2 linked regions of the Anolis sagrei genome follow. The protein of the gene in region 1 purifies or fractionates together with the protein of each later gene. This does not show direct contact. Links are inferred from orthologs where the notes say so. Each region holds a gene or a part of one and is shown on either strand. Other genes may lie near its edges.

Region 1 (8,308 bases):
AGGCTGAGCGACTTGGAAGGTACTGAACAAACTGCGATCTGGCACCACAAGATGCAGAGCCCACCTTAAGAAATGGGGCTACAAAGTGGAGTCCACGATGTGGAAGTGTGGAGAAGAGCAAACCACAGACTACCTATTACAATGCAATCTGAGCCTTGCCACGTGCACAATGGAGGACCATCTTACAGCCACACCAGAGGCACTTGAAGTGGCCAACTTCTGGTCAAAGGAAAATTAGTACAATGCCAAGCTCTTAACTTCGTGGTTTCTTGTATGCATTATAACTGTATTCTCAATTCACTTCTGACACGATAAATAAATCTGAAAGTGCCTGATGTACTCTGTCCCACTGAAAATGGATTAAAGGGCATTTTTAAGATTCAAAAAGTATTCGTGACAGTCAGTTACCTGGCCACTGGCCCTTTGTGCCCCTGGGCAGAGGGGGTTGCCTGGGTCGTGGCGGGGGACGTCATCCTGGGCTGACTCCTCCACTTGCCCTTGCCAGGGCCGCTTCATGCGATGAGCAGAGACCAGCACCCAGTCATCGCGCAGCGGGTTGTAGCGCAGGTGCTGGTGTTCTGTGCCAAAGCCAGACCATGAAAAGAGGGAAAGAAGGAGAAGAGGTCACCCCAATCTCTTTAAAGGTGAAGCCTTAGAAACACACAGCAAAGTAACCAGGTGCTGGAGTGTTGTGTAGTTTCCAGGCTGTATGGGTGTATTCTAGCAGCATTTTCTCCTGACAGTCTGGCAAAACACTCCAGTGATTCTGGCCATCAAAGCCATCAATAACCATGCATTTCTTACTCTCAGAAACAATCTTAATTTTGGCAAAAATTCAGTAGGAAAAAAAACAGATAAATGGAGGAACATTGGCATGAACTTAGAGGCAAAGCTCAGACATGCTATGCATTGTAGTGAACACCAGTAGCAAATCACCATACCTACGAGGGGTATTTTTTAAGTAAGGTCCGTTTTGTTGTAGACACTAGTAGTTTGCGTGCATACCGCAACGAGCGCATGCATCATGTTCCGGCATGCCTCAGGAACAACTGTGCTCAATTTCCGCTCTGCAGCTAACCTGTACCGTTCTGTTCTGTGCTTTAAAAATGTTTAAGACTGCTGCAGAAATTCATCAACAGATTTGTGAAGTGTATGGTGATACTGTTATGAGCGAAAGCAAAGTGCGTAAGTGGGTACGACAATTCAAAGATGGCTGTGACAACATCCATGATGAGGACCGCTCTGGTCGCCCTTCTTTGATTACAGACGATTTGGTGGCTTCAGTTGAAACGAGGATTCGTGAGAACAGACAGTGAACTCTTGGTTATCGTAGCAGGCGGCAAGTTTTTATGAAGAGGGTATTTTTAAATTGGTTCAGAGGTATGATAAGTGTTTGAACAAACTTGGCAACTATGTCGAAAAATAGAGTAAGTATGTACTTTCTGAAACTAAATAAACTTTAGTTGTGTACTTATGTTCAAACGGACCTTACTTAAAAAATACCCCTCGTACATGTATCCCTTAAGCAAAAGGTGAGACTAATAACTAGGTATCATACATCCATGATATCTCAGAGGATGGCCAGAAAGGTGATGCCGGAAGTGATAGAGGACATAATGAAAAAGCTACAAGTCCAACTAGAATTATTACTATTAGTAATAGAATTTTAAATGGGTTAGGGTTAAGGTGAAGCAGATGGCGGAAACAGAAGAACGGCCTGCCTCAGGGGAGCGTGCTTGCTCCATCCATGTTCAACATCTACACAAATAACCAGCCACTGCCAGAAGGGACAGAGAGTTTCATCTATGCTGATGATCGTGCCATCACTGCTCAAGCAGGGAGCTTTGAGATGGTTGAACAGAAGCTCTCCGAAGCTCTAGGTGCTCTTACTGCCTATTACAGGGAAAACCAGCTGATCCCTAATCCATCTAAAAGACAGACATGTGGCTTCCACCTTAAGAACAGACAAGCATCCCAAGCTCTGAGGACCAAGGCAGTGACATCTCCAGCCCATCCCTTGTTTGGGTATCAGCCAGCACATCAACGACTTAAATCTAGAAATAGTTTTCTAAGATCTACAGAGACACTTGCTGGAACACCCCAGCAAGCGAGAGTCCAAAAGTGGCAGGCTCAAACCCAGAACCTCAATCCATGGCTGATACCAAATGAGAGACTCCCTCCTGGGCACACAGAAAACTGGGCGACTTGGAAGGCGCTGAACAGACTGCGCTCTGGCACCACAAGATGCAGAGCCAATCTTAAGAAATGGGGCCACAAAGTAGAATCCACGAGATGCGAGTGTGGAAAAGAGCAATCCATTGACCCTGAGCCCTGCCACATGCACAATGGAGGACCTTCTTGCGGCAACACCAGAAGCACTCCAAGTGGCCAGATACTGCTCAAAGGACATTTAATCAACGACCAAACTCAGAAATTTTGTGTGTTTGTTTGCTTTGTTCTGTTAGAAATGTAATATAATTGACTGGTTGCCCTGACACGACAAATATAAATAGGGTGATTTAAAAGTGGTGCCAATCTGCATTATTCAATAGTGCAGGGCTCCTCAAACCATCCCAGCTTTCTGAAATCTGAATATCTTCTCTCTTTTTCCGTTCTTTATTTCTTACTTCTCTCCTTTCCCTCTTTGTCTCGTATCTACTTTTCTTTCAGGCACCTGAGAGGATGTTTGGAACCAGGTTTGAGCAAAGAGCTATCACTTCAGGGACAAGGGTTCCAATCCTCATTCAGCTGGCCAGACCAGTCAGTTTTAGTTATTGCTTTTAAATTGTTGTATTTTGACGCCCGTCTCAGATATTGGTTACATCCTGTTTAGACTACTGCAACGCTCTCTACGTGGGGTTGCCTCTGAAGACTGCCCGGAAGCTGCAGCTAGTCCAGCGCTCGGCAGCCAGACTACTAACGGATGCTGGGTACAGGGAGCACACCACTCCGCTGTTACACCAGCTCCACTGGTTGCCAATTAGCTTCCGAGCACAATTCAAAGTGCTGGTGTTAAAATATAAAGTAGGGCTGGGCGGTTTCGTTTCGTAATTTCCTAATTCGTTAAAAATTCGTTGTTTTTTTTTGGGATAACGAAGCGATATTGAACCATTCAGGAGCAACTAAAAAACGAAACAAATTTTTCCAATTCGTTTCGTAATTGTTTCGTAATTGATTCGTTATTGATTTGTAAATGTTTCATTATTATTTCCGCATGCCTGGTGCAAGTTTTAGGGTTGCTGTTTGTTTTCTCAGTGAAAAAAAATATAATTATCACACCAACAGTCAACAACAGAGGGAGAGGAAAGCTTCAGAAGTTTTTTTAGCGTATTGCGCGATCGCGGCCGCCATTAACGAATCGATTCGTAATTGATTCGTAATAGTTTCGTAATTGTTTTATGATTTCCGACATTTCGTAAATATCGAACTTTTTTAAAGGAAAATTTCGGAATTCTTTTAAATAACGAAACGCAAAAAACCCCTAAAAATGAATCGAGTTTAGAAACAATTTTTTCCGTGTTTGGACAGCCCTACTATAAAGCCCTAAACGACTCCGGCCCTGTTTACCTCTCCGAATGTATTCTCCCCTATGAACCATCAAGATTATTAAGATAGTCAGGAGAAATGCCTCTAGAACATGGCCCTATAGCCCGAAAAAACCTACAAGAACCTAGTGATTCCAGCCATGAAAGCCTTCGACAATACATTATTAAGATCGTCTGGAGAGGCCCTGCAAGCGCGTCTGGTGGGGACGAGGGACAGGGCCTTCTCGGTGGTGGCCCCTCGACTCTGGAACTCTCTCCCACTGGAGATCAGAACTGCCCCTTCTATTCTGACATTTAGGAAACAGGTGAAGACGTGGTTATGGAGACAGGCATTCGATGAGTGAACCAACACCCTGAGATACAGATGGAGGATGATGAGCAAGGATTTTAGTGTGACGACTGACCATTGTAGTTATTGATTGTAATTGCTGTTTTAATGTTTTACTGTAATATGTATTATGATGTTTTATTGATTGTATGTGATATTATGGTTGGAAACCGGTCTGAGTCCCTCAAGAGAGGTGAGAAGGCCGGCATACAAAACTTTTAAATAAATAAAATCAATATTTCAACATGTTTGTTTTAATAGACAGGGAGACCCTACCTACCGCTTGGCTGGAACTTTCCCTCAGACGCCATCTTGCTTTTCCTGCCGGGGCGCTCACGTGACCAATCCCATCCGCGATTGGTTGAAGACCTCCGCCAATCAAGCGCGCCGATTCACACACGTCACTTTCCCCGCCCAGCCATCGGGCGAGCCCGAAAGCGAGGACTGCGATTGGCCGGCCGCTGTAAAGAGAGGAGCGCCGCCATTGGCTGCTTTCTGTCTCGCGCCGAGAGCGGGAAAGAGGCCCGCGCCGGTGATTGGCTGTGCCTGTCCTTGGCGGCGGCCTGGTGGGCCCTCCGAGGCGCTGCTCGCGTAGCGCCCTCCGCGGCCAGGATGAGGGGCCTGCCGGGGTCGCGCTCCGTCCGGGTGGCCCTCGCCGTGGCCGCCGCCGCGCTCCTCGTCCAGGTGCTGCGCAGCTGGGCCGCCGCCTCCAGCTCTGCCCGCCGCTTCGAGTTCGACCCGGAGGAGATCGCCCGGCTCGGGAAGCACCACGCCGGTGGGTAGGCCTCCCCTGGCCCTGGCAGCGTTACCGACCCGCATTCGTTCCTCAGTGTAGGCGCAGGCTCCGTCCAGGGATTGTAGTTTCTTTTATTGTCTGTGCAAAGGAATTTTGGACAGCATGAAGTTGCAAAGTCAATCAGTGAAGGTATCTGCCTGGAGGTGGCCTGGCTGCTGTGGCCTGGAGGCACCCTCAGTTTGGGAGGTCTTCACTGGCAATTGCAAAGTCAATCAGTGAAGGTATCTGCCTGGAGGTGGCCTGGCTGCTGTGGCCTGGAGGCGCCCTCAGTTTGGGAGGGACTCAGGACGGCTTCCAACAGGCAGCTATTCGATGCCGACACAATATAATAACATAACATTAAATACAATTAGCATACATTAAAAACAGTTATAAATATACATAAAATATGCATTAAAACAGTTTGCCGGTTCAAATCGTCATCCAAATCAGTCCATTGCGGTCCACTAAAACCTTAGCTTTCTCTTTCTTTGGAAGCTGGGCCTGTAAGAGCTGTCTTTTCTATAGGACGTATACTTTAAGCCCAGCGGGAAGCCTCAAAGAGAGGTTCTCAGGGATTTTTCTGAAGTGATGGTCTTTAGAGTCTTTAACGATACGTCTTTATTAAGGAACAAACAACAAATCTTCAATGGTTCAAACAACACTTCAAGGCTTTCTTAGTCTAGTCCTCAATGGGCTGGCACCTGACTTTAATTAACTGTACTTTCTCTGTAGGAAAAAAACCCCCTTTTTAACCTTTCCCAGGCTGTTTACTATCTATGCCTCATCAGTGTGGGTCCTACTACCGATTCCAAATGCGTCTGGGTATCAAGTAGACCTACCAGCCAAGGCTTGTAGATATTTCAGATGGAGTTCCATGGATCTGTAGTGCTGTCCTCCCTCAGAGAATTCTTTGAGAACTTCAGGGCTGTTTTCCCTCTGTTTGCTGTGAGGCTGTGAGCTCTCAGCCAGAGCCTTGGGACCTTTTCCCTGGAATTTCTGTTTACCCGAATGGTCTGTTCCCCTGGATGCTCTGGAGAAAGGAAGCTTTTCTACGGGACGAGCTGGTCTACATCATATAGCTTAGCTACCTTGTGTGAGACTGACCAAAAAGGGCTCCTTTCCCTCCCAGAGCCCTGAACAAGGGCGGAACCAAAGCTTAATTAAGATGGACAGGTGGCCTGCCCTATGATTGCAAACTTTAACAGAAAGAAAATAAAGTTGGAGCTCCTGGTACAGCCATACCAGTACAGGGTTTTTTTTTTTCCTACACAGGGTTCCTACATAGCAAAGGGTTTTTTTTTCCTACACAGAAGCTTTTAAACAGAGGCTGGATGGTGCGGGGGTGCTTTGAATGTAATTTTCCTGCTTGCTGGCAGAATGGGGTTGAACTGGATGGCTCACCAGGTCTCTTCCAACTCTAGGATTCTATACCAGTACTTGGGCCCTTTCTCCAGGTGTTTTGGACTTCAACTCCCACAATTCCTACTGACTGTTAGGAATTGTGGGAGTTGAAGTCCAAAACACCTGGAGAGAGGGCCCAAGTTTGCCCAAGCCTGGTTTAGCAGGCATGCCAATCAAGTTTGCAGATGACACCAAATTAGGAGGGAGAGCTAATACTCCAGAGTGAAGAGGCTAACGTGCGAAACCCCTTTTTAAGCAGGCAAAGCTTGTGGAACCCCCTAGTCTTGGTTTCCAATAAGGAACTAGAAGGCAGCGTAGACAGAAAAACACAGAGTTATTTGCAAATCAGCTGCAGGTGACCATCCTGAAAGGAAAGCCGCACACCAAAATGAGATCTTACATAGGATTCTTATAGTTTTTGCAGGTACAGTGCACTTCACAAACATCCTTGTTCTCACGCCCCCTCTCCTTTTCATTTTGTTTCATCCTGCACATGGCACCATTTGATCAGATGCTTACCAAAACAGCTCAGGAAAACACAACTTCCCAATTCCAATTTGACCTTCCAGACCTTCAATTGAGCTCTCCGAATCTCTAAAGAAGGTGGTTGCCTTTCTTTGCCCTGTCAGCCTGTTTTTCTCATAGCAGATTCTAACACTAAAGACTAAGCCTATTTATTTGATCAAACTATGCTTCATACCATTGCTATATATTAATCAAATTAAAGAGGTGTCCATTGTCCCCTTCATGTTCCTTGTTTCGTGTCTTGATTTTGGCATTTTTTAATACTGGTAACCAGATTCTATTCATTTTCATGGTGAAGGGGACAAGATTTAAGTAATAAATTGCAATGGTATGAAGAATACTATGAATTCTTCATACAATTCAAGAGAGATATTGACAAGCTGGAATGTGTCCAGAGGAGGGCGACTAAAATGATCAAGGGTCTGGAGAACAAGCCCTATGAAGAGCATCTTAAAGAGCTGGGGATGTTTAGCCTGAAGAAGAGAAGGCTGAGAGGAGATATGATAGCCATGTATAAATATGTGAGAGCTTGTTTTCCGCTGCCCTGGAGACTAGGATGTGGAACAGTGGCTTCCAACTACAAGAGAGGAGATTCCATCTGAACATGAGGAAGAACTTCGTGACTGCAAGAGCCGTTCAGCAGTGGAACTCTCTGCCCCGGAGTTTGGTGGAGGCTCCTTCTTTGGAAGCTTTTAAACAGAGGCTGGATGGCCATCTGTCAGGGGTGCTTTGAATGCAATATTCCTTCTTCTTGACAGGAAGTTGGACTGGATGGCCCACGAGGTCTCTTCCAACTCTATGATTCTATAATAAATAGAAAACCGTAGTCTTAGAAGAGTTTTAGATCAATGATCAATGCCTGCCATGGAAAACACACACATGAAAAGGTTGACAGGGCAATAAAATGGTAACCAAAAGGGAGCTCTTCCAACTGATCATTTTTGCAAATAGGGTCTTCACATTTGCAGTTTTGCCTTTTTAGGATTTTGTTGTGTTTTATGTTTATGTTTATTTTTTATGCGTCTTCCCTCTCATCTGTGGGGTTCTCTTCATCTTCTGTATTTGCCTTTCCTCATTGGTATTTTGTTAATGGTTTATTACGTCTTGGCATCTTCCCTCTTCTGTTTACTAATTATTTCTCATCCTGTTCTGATTTATCACTCTTAGTAAATTATTAAACAGGGAGGAAGAAAAGTCTCCCAGAATGGCAAGTCATAACACGGATGTTCTCTCTAGGTCTCCCAGTGTGACTCTACAGGCAGTTTCCCCCACTTAGGCAAAAGATTTTGAGAAAAAAAATACCTTTCTAAGAATTTCTAGGTCCTCTAATGTGATTCTGTGTTCCATTCCAGTGGAAATTGACCATAGGATTGTGCTGGAAACCTAGACCAGGAATGGGCAAACTTTGGCCTTCCCTCCAAGCATTTTGGACTTCAACTCTCACAATTCCTAATAGCCTACCAGCTGTTAGGAATTATGTTTATTATGTTGAAGTCCAAAACGCCTGTAGGGAGGGCCAAAGTTTGCCCATGCCTGGCCTAGGCATTCCTAGAGAAGTGTTCTCTCAGGTAAAAAAAATGCATTTTTTAAATTCATGGTTTTTCACTTATTATTTATTATTTATTTCAGTTACTTTTACCCCGCCCTTCTCACCCCCGAGGGGGGACTCAGGGCGGCTTACAAAGAAGGCACAATTCGATACCTATATCAAATATACAACATACAAAAAAC
Region 2 (8,379 bases), on another chromosome or scaffold:
ACAGTATTTTCTGTTGATCATGGGGGTTCTGTGTGGGAAGCTTGGACTAAATCTATCATTGGTGGGGTTCAGAATGCTCTTTGGTTGTAGGTGAACTATAAATCCCACTACTACAACTCCCAAATGACAAGGTCTATTTTCCCCCACACTCCACAAATGTTCACATTTGGGCATATTGAGTATTTGTGCCAAGTTTGGTCCAGATCCATCAATTTTTGTGTCCACAATGCTCTCTGGATGTAGGTGAACTACAACTCCAAAACTCAAGGTCAATGCCCACCAAACTCTTCCAGTATTTTCTGTTGGTCATGGGAGTTCTGTATGCCAAGTTTGATTCAATTCCATCGTTGGTGGAGTTCAGAATGCTCCATGATAGTAGGTGAACTATAAATCCCAGCAACTACACCTCCCAAATGTTAAGGTCTATTTCCCCCAAACTCCACCAGTGTTCACATTTGGGCATATTGAGTATTTGTGCCAATTTTTCGTCCAGTGAATGAAAATACATCCTGCATATCAGATAGAGTTCTGCGTGCCAAGTTTGGTTCGATTCCATCATTGGTGGAGTACAGAATGCTCTTTGATTGTAGGTGAACTATAAATCCCAGCAACTACAACTCCCAAATGACAAAATTAATCCCCCCCAACCCCACTATATTCAAATTTGGGCATATTGGGTATTTATGCCAAATTTGGTCCAGTGAATGAAAATACACCCTGCATGTTAACGGGGGCCCATTACAGAGAGAGGTCAACCCTCCTGTTTAAGGAGCTCCACTGGCTGCCGTTCATTTTCTGAGCCCAATTTAAGGTGCAGGTGCTTACCTACAAAGCCCTGAACGGTTTGGGACCACCCTACCTGCGTGACCGCATCGCTGTCTACGAACCCACACGCTCACTCCAGTCATCAGGAGAGGCCCTGCTCGTGATCCCGCCCGCGTCACAGCCGCGTTTGGTGGGGACGCGAGACAGGGCCTTCTCTGTGGTGGCCCCCCGCCTCTGGAATGCCCTCCCGAAAGATCTCAGACAGGCCCCTACTTTGGCGGTTTTCAGAAAGAATCTGAAAACCTGGCTGTTCCAACGTGCCTTTTCAGATTAGGAACCCCACTACCAAACCCCAGAAGCACTTTAGTAGAGCCAAGATCACTGCTCATTGCACACTGCACTTGATTTTAATCCCATATCCCTCCGACACTTCAGCACTTTTTAATCCTGTACCCCTACTCCGGCCGGCTCAGTTTTTAATAATTGTCCTGTTGCATTGCTATTGTTTATTGTTTTCTGCTTTAACTGTTTTATTTGCTATGTACTGTATTGTTGTATTGTGTTGGGCTCTGGCCTGCTGTAAGCCGCATCGAATCCCTTGGGAGATGCTAGCGGGGTACAAATAAAGTTATAATAATATAATAATAATATAATAATATCATATATTTACATGATGATTCAGAACAGTAGCAAAATTACAGTTATGAATTAACAATGAAAATAATTTTATGATTTGGTGGCCACCACAACATGAGGAACTGTATTAAGGGGTCATGGGATTAGGAAGGTTGAGAACCACTGACCTATGATAACTCTGTCAGGAGTGAATTATCCCCTTCCTAGGATAATAATTTCTCTCTCACTTCCTATTGTCTCACCCCGTTCTTAATATGAGTTGTTTCTAAGTCAGATATTTGTAACTCAGGGACTGCCTGTACCTTGGAGAAAGGTAAACATTGGACGGGGAGACACTTGGGGTTGTTTTCCTCTCCTGCAGCCCTGAATCATCTCTCTTGCACTCACTCATCCTGCTGCTGAATGCCACCACCACACAACCCACAAAGCACTCCATTCCCAGTCTCTTTGGGTGTATCATAGAGTTGGAACACATGGGACATCTAGTCCAACCCCTTGCCATGTAGTATCTACACCAGGTATGGGCCAAGTTGGATCCTCTAGGTGTTTTGGACTTCAACTCCTACCATTCCTAACAGCCTCAGGCCCTTCCTTGGGAATAGGAAAGGGCCCGAGGCTGTTAGGAATGGTGGGAGTTGAAGTCCAAAATACCTGGAGGGCCCAAGTTGGCCCATGTCTGGTTTAAACAGTCCTAATAAGCACATTTCTGGGGTATTTTCTTGACCTTTTGCCCCCTTTGAGGAGGGCTTCTTTGTAAACCCACTAATGCTGCATCACACTAGAGAGAAAAAAATCACTTAAATCCGGTTTCTGCCTCCTGCAGAATTCTGGGGTTTGTAGCTGAGGAAGAAGCCTTTCATAGCCTCCCTAAACTACAAACCCCAGAATTGAATAGCCTCCCAAAACATCAAACCCCAGTATTTAATAGCCTCCCTAAACTACAAACCTCAGAATTTAATAGCCTCCCAAAACTACAAACCCCAGAATTTAATAGCCTCCCAAAACTTCAAACCACAGAATGTCATAGCCTCCCTAAACTACAAACCCCGGAAAAGAATACCCTCCCTAAACGAGAAACCCCAGAATTTAATAGCCTCCCTAAATGAGAAACCCCATAATTGAATATTCCTCTAAACAACGAACCACAGAATTGAATAGCCTCCCTAAACTACAAATCCCAGAATTTAATAGCCTCCCTAAACTAAAACCCAAGAATTTAATAGCCTCCCAAAACTACAAGCCCAAGTATTTGATAGCCTCCCTAATCTACAAACCCCAGTATTTGATAGCCTCCCTAAACTATAAACCCCAGAATTTAATAACCTCCCTAAACGAGAAATCCCAGAATTGAATAGCTTCTCTAAACGACTAACCCTAGAATTTCATAGCCTCCCTAGACTACAAACCTCAGAATTGCACAGCCTGCCTAAACTAAAAAAACCCTAGAATTGAATAGCCTCCCTAAACTACAAATCCCAGGATTTCATAGTCTCCCTAAACTACAAACCCCTGAATTGCATAGTCTTCTTAAACTACAAAACCTAGAATTGAATATCCTCCCTAAACTACAAACCCCAAAATATAATAGCCTACCTAAACTACAAACCCCAGAATTTGATATCCTCCCTAAACTACAAACCCCAAAATATCTAATAAACTACAAACCCCAAAATATCTAATAAACTACAAACCCCAGAATTCTGCGGGAGGCAGAAACCGGATTTCAAGTGGATTTTTTTCCTCTAGTGTGATGAGGCAAGCGGATTTTAAGTGGATTTTTTCTCCCCTGGCCCAGTGCGGACCCAGCAGAGCGCTTGAAAGGCTTAATGCTGGGACTTGCGGGCTTTCTTTCGAGCTGCCTCTCCTTCTACCCCCAGGAACCCCACAACTGTCAACCCGCGACCAAGGTGCGGTGTGGCTGAGCCCTGCCTGCTGGTGGACTCACTCACCTTGTCGGGAAGAAGCAGCGCCAGGAAAGAGGCCACGGCGAGGAGGCTCAGGCCGCGGGCCCGGTTCGCCATCTCGGAGGGGAGCTGAGAAAGCAACGCCGGGAGTCAGGAGGACAAGCCTGGGAGCGGAAAGGCCTGGCCAGGCTAGAGAGTGAGCCCGCCCCCAAAGAGGAGGAGGAGGAGGAGGAGGAGGAGGCCGCCCCTTTCCTGTGGGGTGACTTGAAGAGCTCCTCCCCCGAGGACGGCTCCAGGAACCGGTTCCTCCGCCCTTGAGCCTCGCCTTGCAAATAAGACTCGTCTGCCGGCATGGGCCAACTTGGGCCCTCCTTCCAGGTGTTTTGGACTTCAACTCCCACAATTCCTAACAGCCGGTAGGGAGTTGAAGTCCAAAACACCTGGAAAGAGGGCCCAAGTTGGCCCATGCCTGCACTATGGAATGAATCCACTTTCAATCCGGTTTCTGCCTCCAGCAGAATTCTGGGCTTTGTAGTTTAGGGGGGGGGGCTGTTAAAGGCTATCTTAACTAGTTTTGCATATTGGCCCACTCTCCCTTCCCCCAAATATGAGTCTGTTGCTGCTTAGAATGCTTGTTTATTATTGTTTATGTTGTTTTTATGCTATTTTAATATATTATTTTTAATTGTATGTTGCCTTCTTCCTCCCTAGTCCCATCCTTTCGCAATCCCACCCTTCCAGAGAAAGGACCATTTCAACTTCTGAGCTGCTGTAAATTTTCCAGGCTGTATGGCCGTGTTCCAAAAGCATTCTCTCCTGACATTTCGCCTGCATCTATGGTTGAGGTTGTGAGGTCTGTTAGAAACTAGGAAAATTGGGTTTATAATATCCTGCCGTCAGCCCCGGCTTCTGCCAACCTAATAGTTCAAAAACATGCAAATGTGAGTAGATCGGTAGGTACCACTCAGGCGGGAAGGTAACAGCGCTTTTTGCAGTCATGCCGGCCACATGACCTTGGAGGTGTCTATGGACAACACTGGCTCTTCAGCTTAGAAATGGAGATGAGCACCAACCCCCAGAGTGAGACATGACTAGACTTTATGTCAGGGGAAACCTTTACCTATATCTGTGGAATGTCCATATCTGTGGAAACACCATGTCAGACTACACAGAGAAGCCAATTAAATCCACACGCATGTGGACAATTTCAACAGGAAGGAAGAAACCATGAAAATGGAGAAACTCTGGCTACCTGTATTTAAAAAACTCTAAAATTATAACAGTAAATAAAGAACAACATCCAAAAAAACAGAGGAACTCCAGACAAGAAGCAATCAGGGACAGCTAATCACCTCCCAACAAAGGATTCCCCCAGGCAGTAACCAGCCAGACCTTGAAGCTGCAAAGCCATTAAAAGCTAATCAAGGTAGTTAACAACAACAGAGGGACTTTCCAGACAGGCCCTATATCCCAGGACCTGATCCCAAGTTTTCTGTTTATCTCAGTTTATCTGGCAGTGCGGACTCGTATAATCCAGTTTAAAGCAGAAAACCTGGGATCAGATCCCAGGATATAGGTTGTGTTTGGAAGGGCCCTGAGTCTTCCTTGCCTAAGAAAATCCTGATTACTTTCCCGCTGGTGCTCCATGCAGTCATGCTGGCCACATGACCTTGGAGGTGTCTACGGACAATGCCAGCTTTTTGGCTTAGAAATTGAGATGAGCACCACACCCCAGAGTTGGACACGACTGGACTTAATGTCAGGAGAAAACCTTTATCTAATATAATTTGATGTTTAATAGGCTTTTCCTTAATCTCTCCTTATTATCCAACATTTTCGCTTATCCAACGTTCTGCCAGCCTATTTATGTTGGATAAGTGAGACTCGGAGGCAGGTAATATTTTTTTTCTAAACCAAAGCTGGAAACTAAATAGATGTTGCAAGAAAAAAAAACATGTTTTTCTTGGATCAGCAAAACTTTATTGAAATTTATACTTCACATGTAAGGAGTTGGATCTAGATTTAGGCTCATTAAAAGTTTGGAGAAGCAGATTTCTTACGCAGTTCCTTAAGCCGTCTGGAAGTGCCATAGACGCCTTTCTGAACTGCAATCAAACTGCATCACGTGAGTCTGTACTGACCATATCCTGCAGTTACATGACAGTGTAGACAAGGTCTTAGAAAAAGGGAAGCGACACTGGATTGATCCCGGTATTTGAAAGTTTCAGATCTAGCTCCCTGGAAGCAAACAATCTTTTATGGATTTCCATGCCAGTTATAATACAGTTGCTTTTGTTTGTGCTCACAAAAGCATGTGATGTGCTTGAGCGATCAGCATTGTGGTGTGTCTTGCTGTTTTGGATTGTATCACAATTCTTTCAACAATGGGAGTGTTTGTCCTACAACAGCCGACTTCCATTTATTTCCAGTGTGTCATTACTTGAGAGGCCTGGATGTCTTTCTTCCTCACGTGCCTTTGGTTTGCAGGCCCCTTGCTCTGTAAATCTTTGTCTGTGACACTCCCGTTGTTTTGTGTTTAAAAATTATAGGATGACCTTTGTGTAGCTTTCATCTAATCTTCCTAGGAAAGTGCTGAGATTGTGGCTGCAAACCCATTCTGACCCATTCACTCCAATCTGAAGTACGGCTGACAAAGCTATCAGTCCCTTCTATTGTGTCTCTGGTAGATGATCTAAAAAGTATTATTTGCCGATGTATAATACCTTTAATAATGCTGATAATTTTTAACACTAGATCACTGTTTCTTAACCTGGGGGGTGGGACCCATTTGGGGTGGGGGTCACAAGGAGGATGTCAGAGGGGTTGCCAAAGACCATCAGAAAACACAGTATTTTCTGTTTAGCATGAGGCTTCTGTGTGGGAAGTTTGGTCCGATTCTATAGTTGTTGGGGTTCAGAATGCTCTTTGATTGTAAGTGAACTATAAATCCCTGCAACTACAACTCCCAAGTGTCAAGGTCTATTTCCCCCAAACTCCACCAGTATTCACATTTGGGCATATTGAGTATTTGTGCCAAGTTTAGTCCAGATCCATCATTGTTTGACTCAACAGTGCTCTCTGGATGTAGGTGAACTACAACTCCAAAACTCAAGGTCAGTATTTTCTGTTGGTCGTGGGAGTTCTGTGTGCCAAATCTGGTTCAATTCCATTATTGCTGGAATTCAGAATGCCGTTTGATTGTAGGTGAACTATAAATCCCAGCAACTACAATTCCCAAATGACAAAATCAATCCCCCTCCCAATCCCACCAGTATTCAAATTTGAGCATATTGAGTATTTGTACCAAATTTGATTCAGTCAATGAAAAAACACCCTGCATCAAGATTCATAACACTTTCAAAATTACAGTTATGAAGTAGCAACAAAAATATTTTATGGTTGGAGGTCACCACAAGATGAAGAACTATATTAAGGGATCACAGCATTAGGAAGGTTGAGAAACATTGCACTAGATCCACAACATTGTTGCACACATTTTTGGGGGAGAGAGAGAGTAAACCAACTGATTACAGAGGTCTTAACCCTCAGATAAAAGTGCAGAAAGTTGTCTTTCTTGCCACACTTCCATCTTCTTGATTATACATTTTACTGGCTCCATTCTATATACTGTTATGCGATGTTTGGCTTTTTAAGATTGTAGAACCGATGGAGATGGAGCATGGGAGAATTTCGTCCAGTATGTTGTTTACATGGATACAAAATGTGTGTGTTGCTGAAATAAAGTAGTTAACTAGTATTGACATTATTACTATTGGATGACAGTGTTAACTTGCTTGTTATCTGACTCAGTAGTAACCAAATGACTAAGCAGGAGTGTCTGTGTGTCAGTCAGCACAAATGCCACTCAGTGTTTCGCAACCGACCTTTTGGGACCATCAGCTGGTGAAAATACTTATTTTTAGAAAGGTTATCATGATTCAGTTCATAAATATTGTCATCCTGTTTTAAAATGTAAAGGATATGAAGAAATCCAAAGTCCATCTAATTAAATTTAATAGGAAAACAAAGATTTTGTTACAGAAGCAAAATCATTTAAATAGATTTTCACTGTTGTGTGATAGAGGAGCCTACATAGAATATACCATGAGACAAAAGGATATGACTAATATTCAGATTTTTAGATTACTTGCATGAATCCTGTAAATGACAGACCACAGTGAGGACTTTCTTCTTGTGAATAAAATAATCAATGGGACAAGTTTTTGCCCTTTGCTTCATGGTTCATACTAGGATCCTTCTAGACTTTTACATCAGCAGCATGCAAAAGCATTTCTTTAAAAATCCCTATAGTTTAATGTCATATAAATTAGTATATAGCTTGGATAAAATACTGCTCACCAATATACTGAAAGACTAACTAAGGATCTCATCATATTAGAGAATGAATCCACTTTAAATCCGGTTTCTGCCTCCTGCAGAATTCTGGGGTTTGTAGTTTAGGGAGCAGCCTTTAAACAGCCTCACTAAACTACAAACCCCAGAATTCTGCAACTAGATTTAAAGTGGATTCATTCTCTAGTATGATGAAGTAGTAAAAGCATATTTGAAATGGGGAAAAAACTCTCTACCTTTGGAGGGCCAAACTGCACTTAATATGAAAGAAGTTCCAAGCTGGGAGACATAATTAAAAAAAAACAAACTCCATTGCATTGTGTCAGAAGCAACCCTGAGAAACTACAAGTCGCTTTTGGTGTGAGAGAAATGGCCATCTGCAGAGACATTGCCCAGGGGACGGCCGGATGTGTTACTATCCTGTAGGAGGCTTCTTTCACATGCCTGCTGGAGCTGGAGCTAACAGACGGGAGCTCACCCTGTCTTGAGGATTCAAACCACCGACCTTCAGTTCAGCCGGCACAAAGGTTTAACCCATTGTGCCACCGTGGCTCCTTCCTTTGCAGGTAGAAATCAAGCTGATAACCATAATTATGGGATAGACACAACCTTAAGCACACAATGAAGCAAGCCTCATCTAATGTTTGTTCTTGGCTACCATCAAGTCAACTTTATGACGGCTGAATGAATGAGACTTCCAAGTCACCTTGTCATCAGCAGC

What was found.
Region 2: the proteins of SIGMAR1 (region 1) and NPC1 purify together in Homo sapiens (affinity purification with mass spectrometry; 3 studies listed by BioGRID and IntAct, with this or other methods). This does not show direct contact. The link is inferred for Anolis sagrei from reciprocal best matches to the Homo sapiens genes SIGMAR1 and NPC1.

What each region holds. Positions count from the first base shown.
Region 1 is NC_090022.1:300,379,203-300,387,510, forward strand, and holds the start of SIGMAR1 (sigma non-opioid intracellular receptor 1), read left to right. Parts: upstream 1-4,402; 5' UTR 4,403-4,485; coding exon 4,486-4,648; intron 4,649-8,308. Other genes in the region: GALT (galactose-1-phosphate uridylyltransferase), read right to left, coding at 409-578, 4,154-4,184. UniProt on the Homo sapiens protein: Functions in lipid transport from the endoplasmic reticulum and is involved in a wide array of cellular functions probably through regulation of the biogenesis of lipid microdomains at the plasma membrane.
Region 2 is NC_090024.1:59,674,796-59,683,174, reverse strand, and holds the start of NPC1 (NPC intracellular cholesterol transporter 1), read right to left. Parts: upstream 3,526-8,379; 5' UTR 3,423-3,525; coding exon 3,351-3,422; intron 1-3,350. UniProt on the Homo sapiens protein: Intracellular cholesterol transporter which acts in concert with NPC2 and plays an important role in the egress of cholesterol from the endosomal/lysosomal compartment.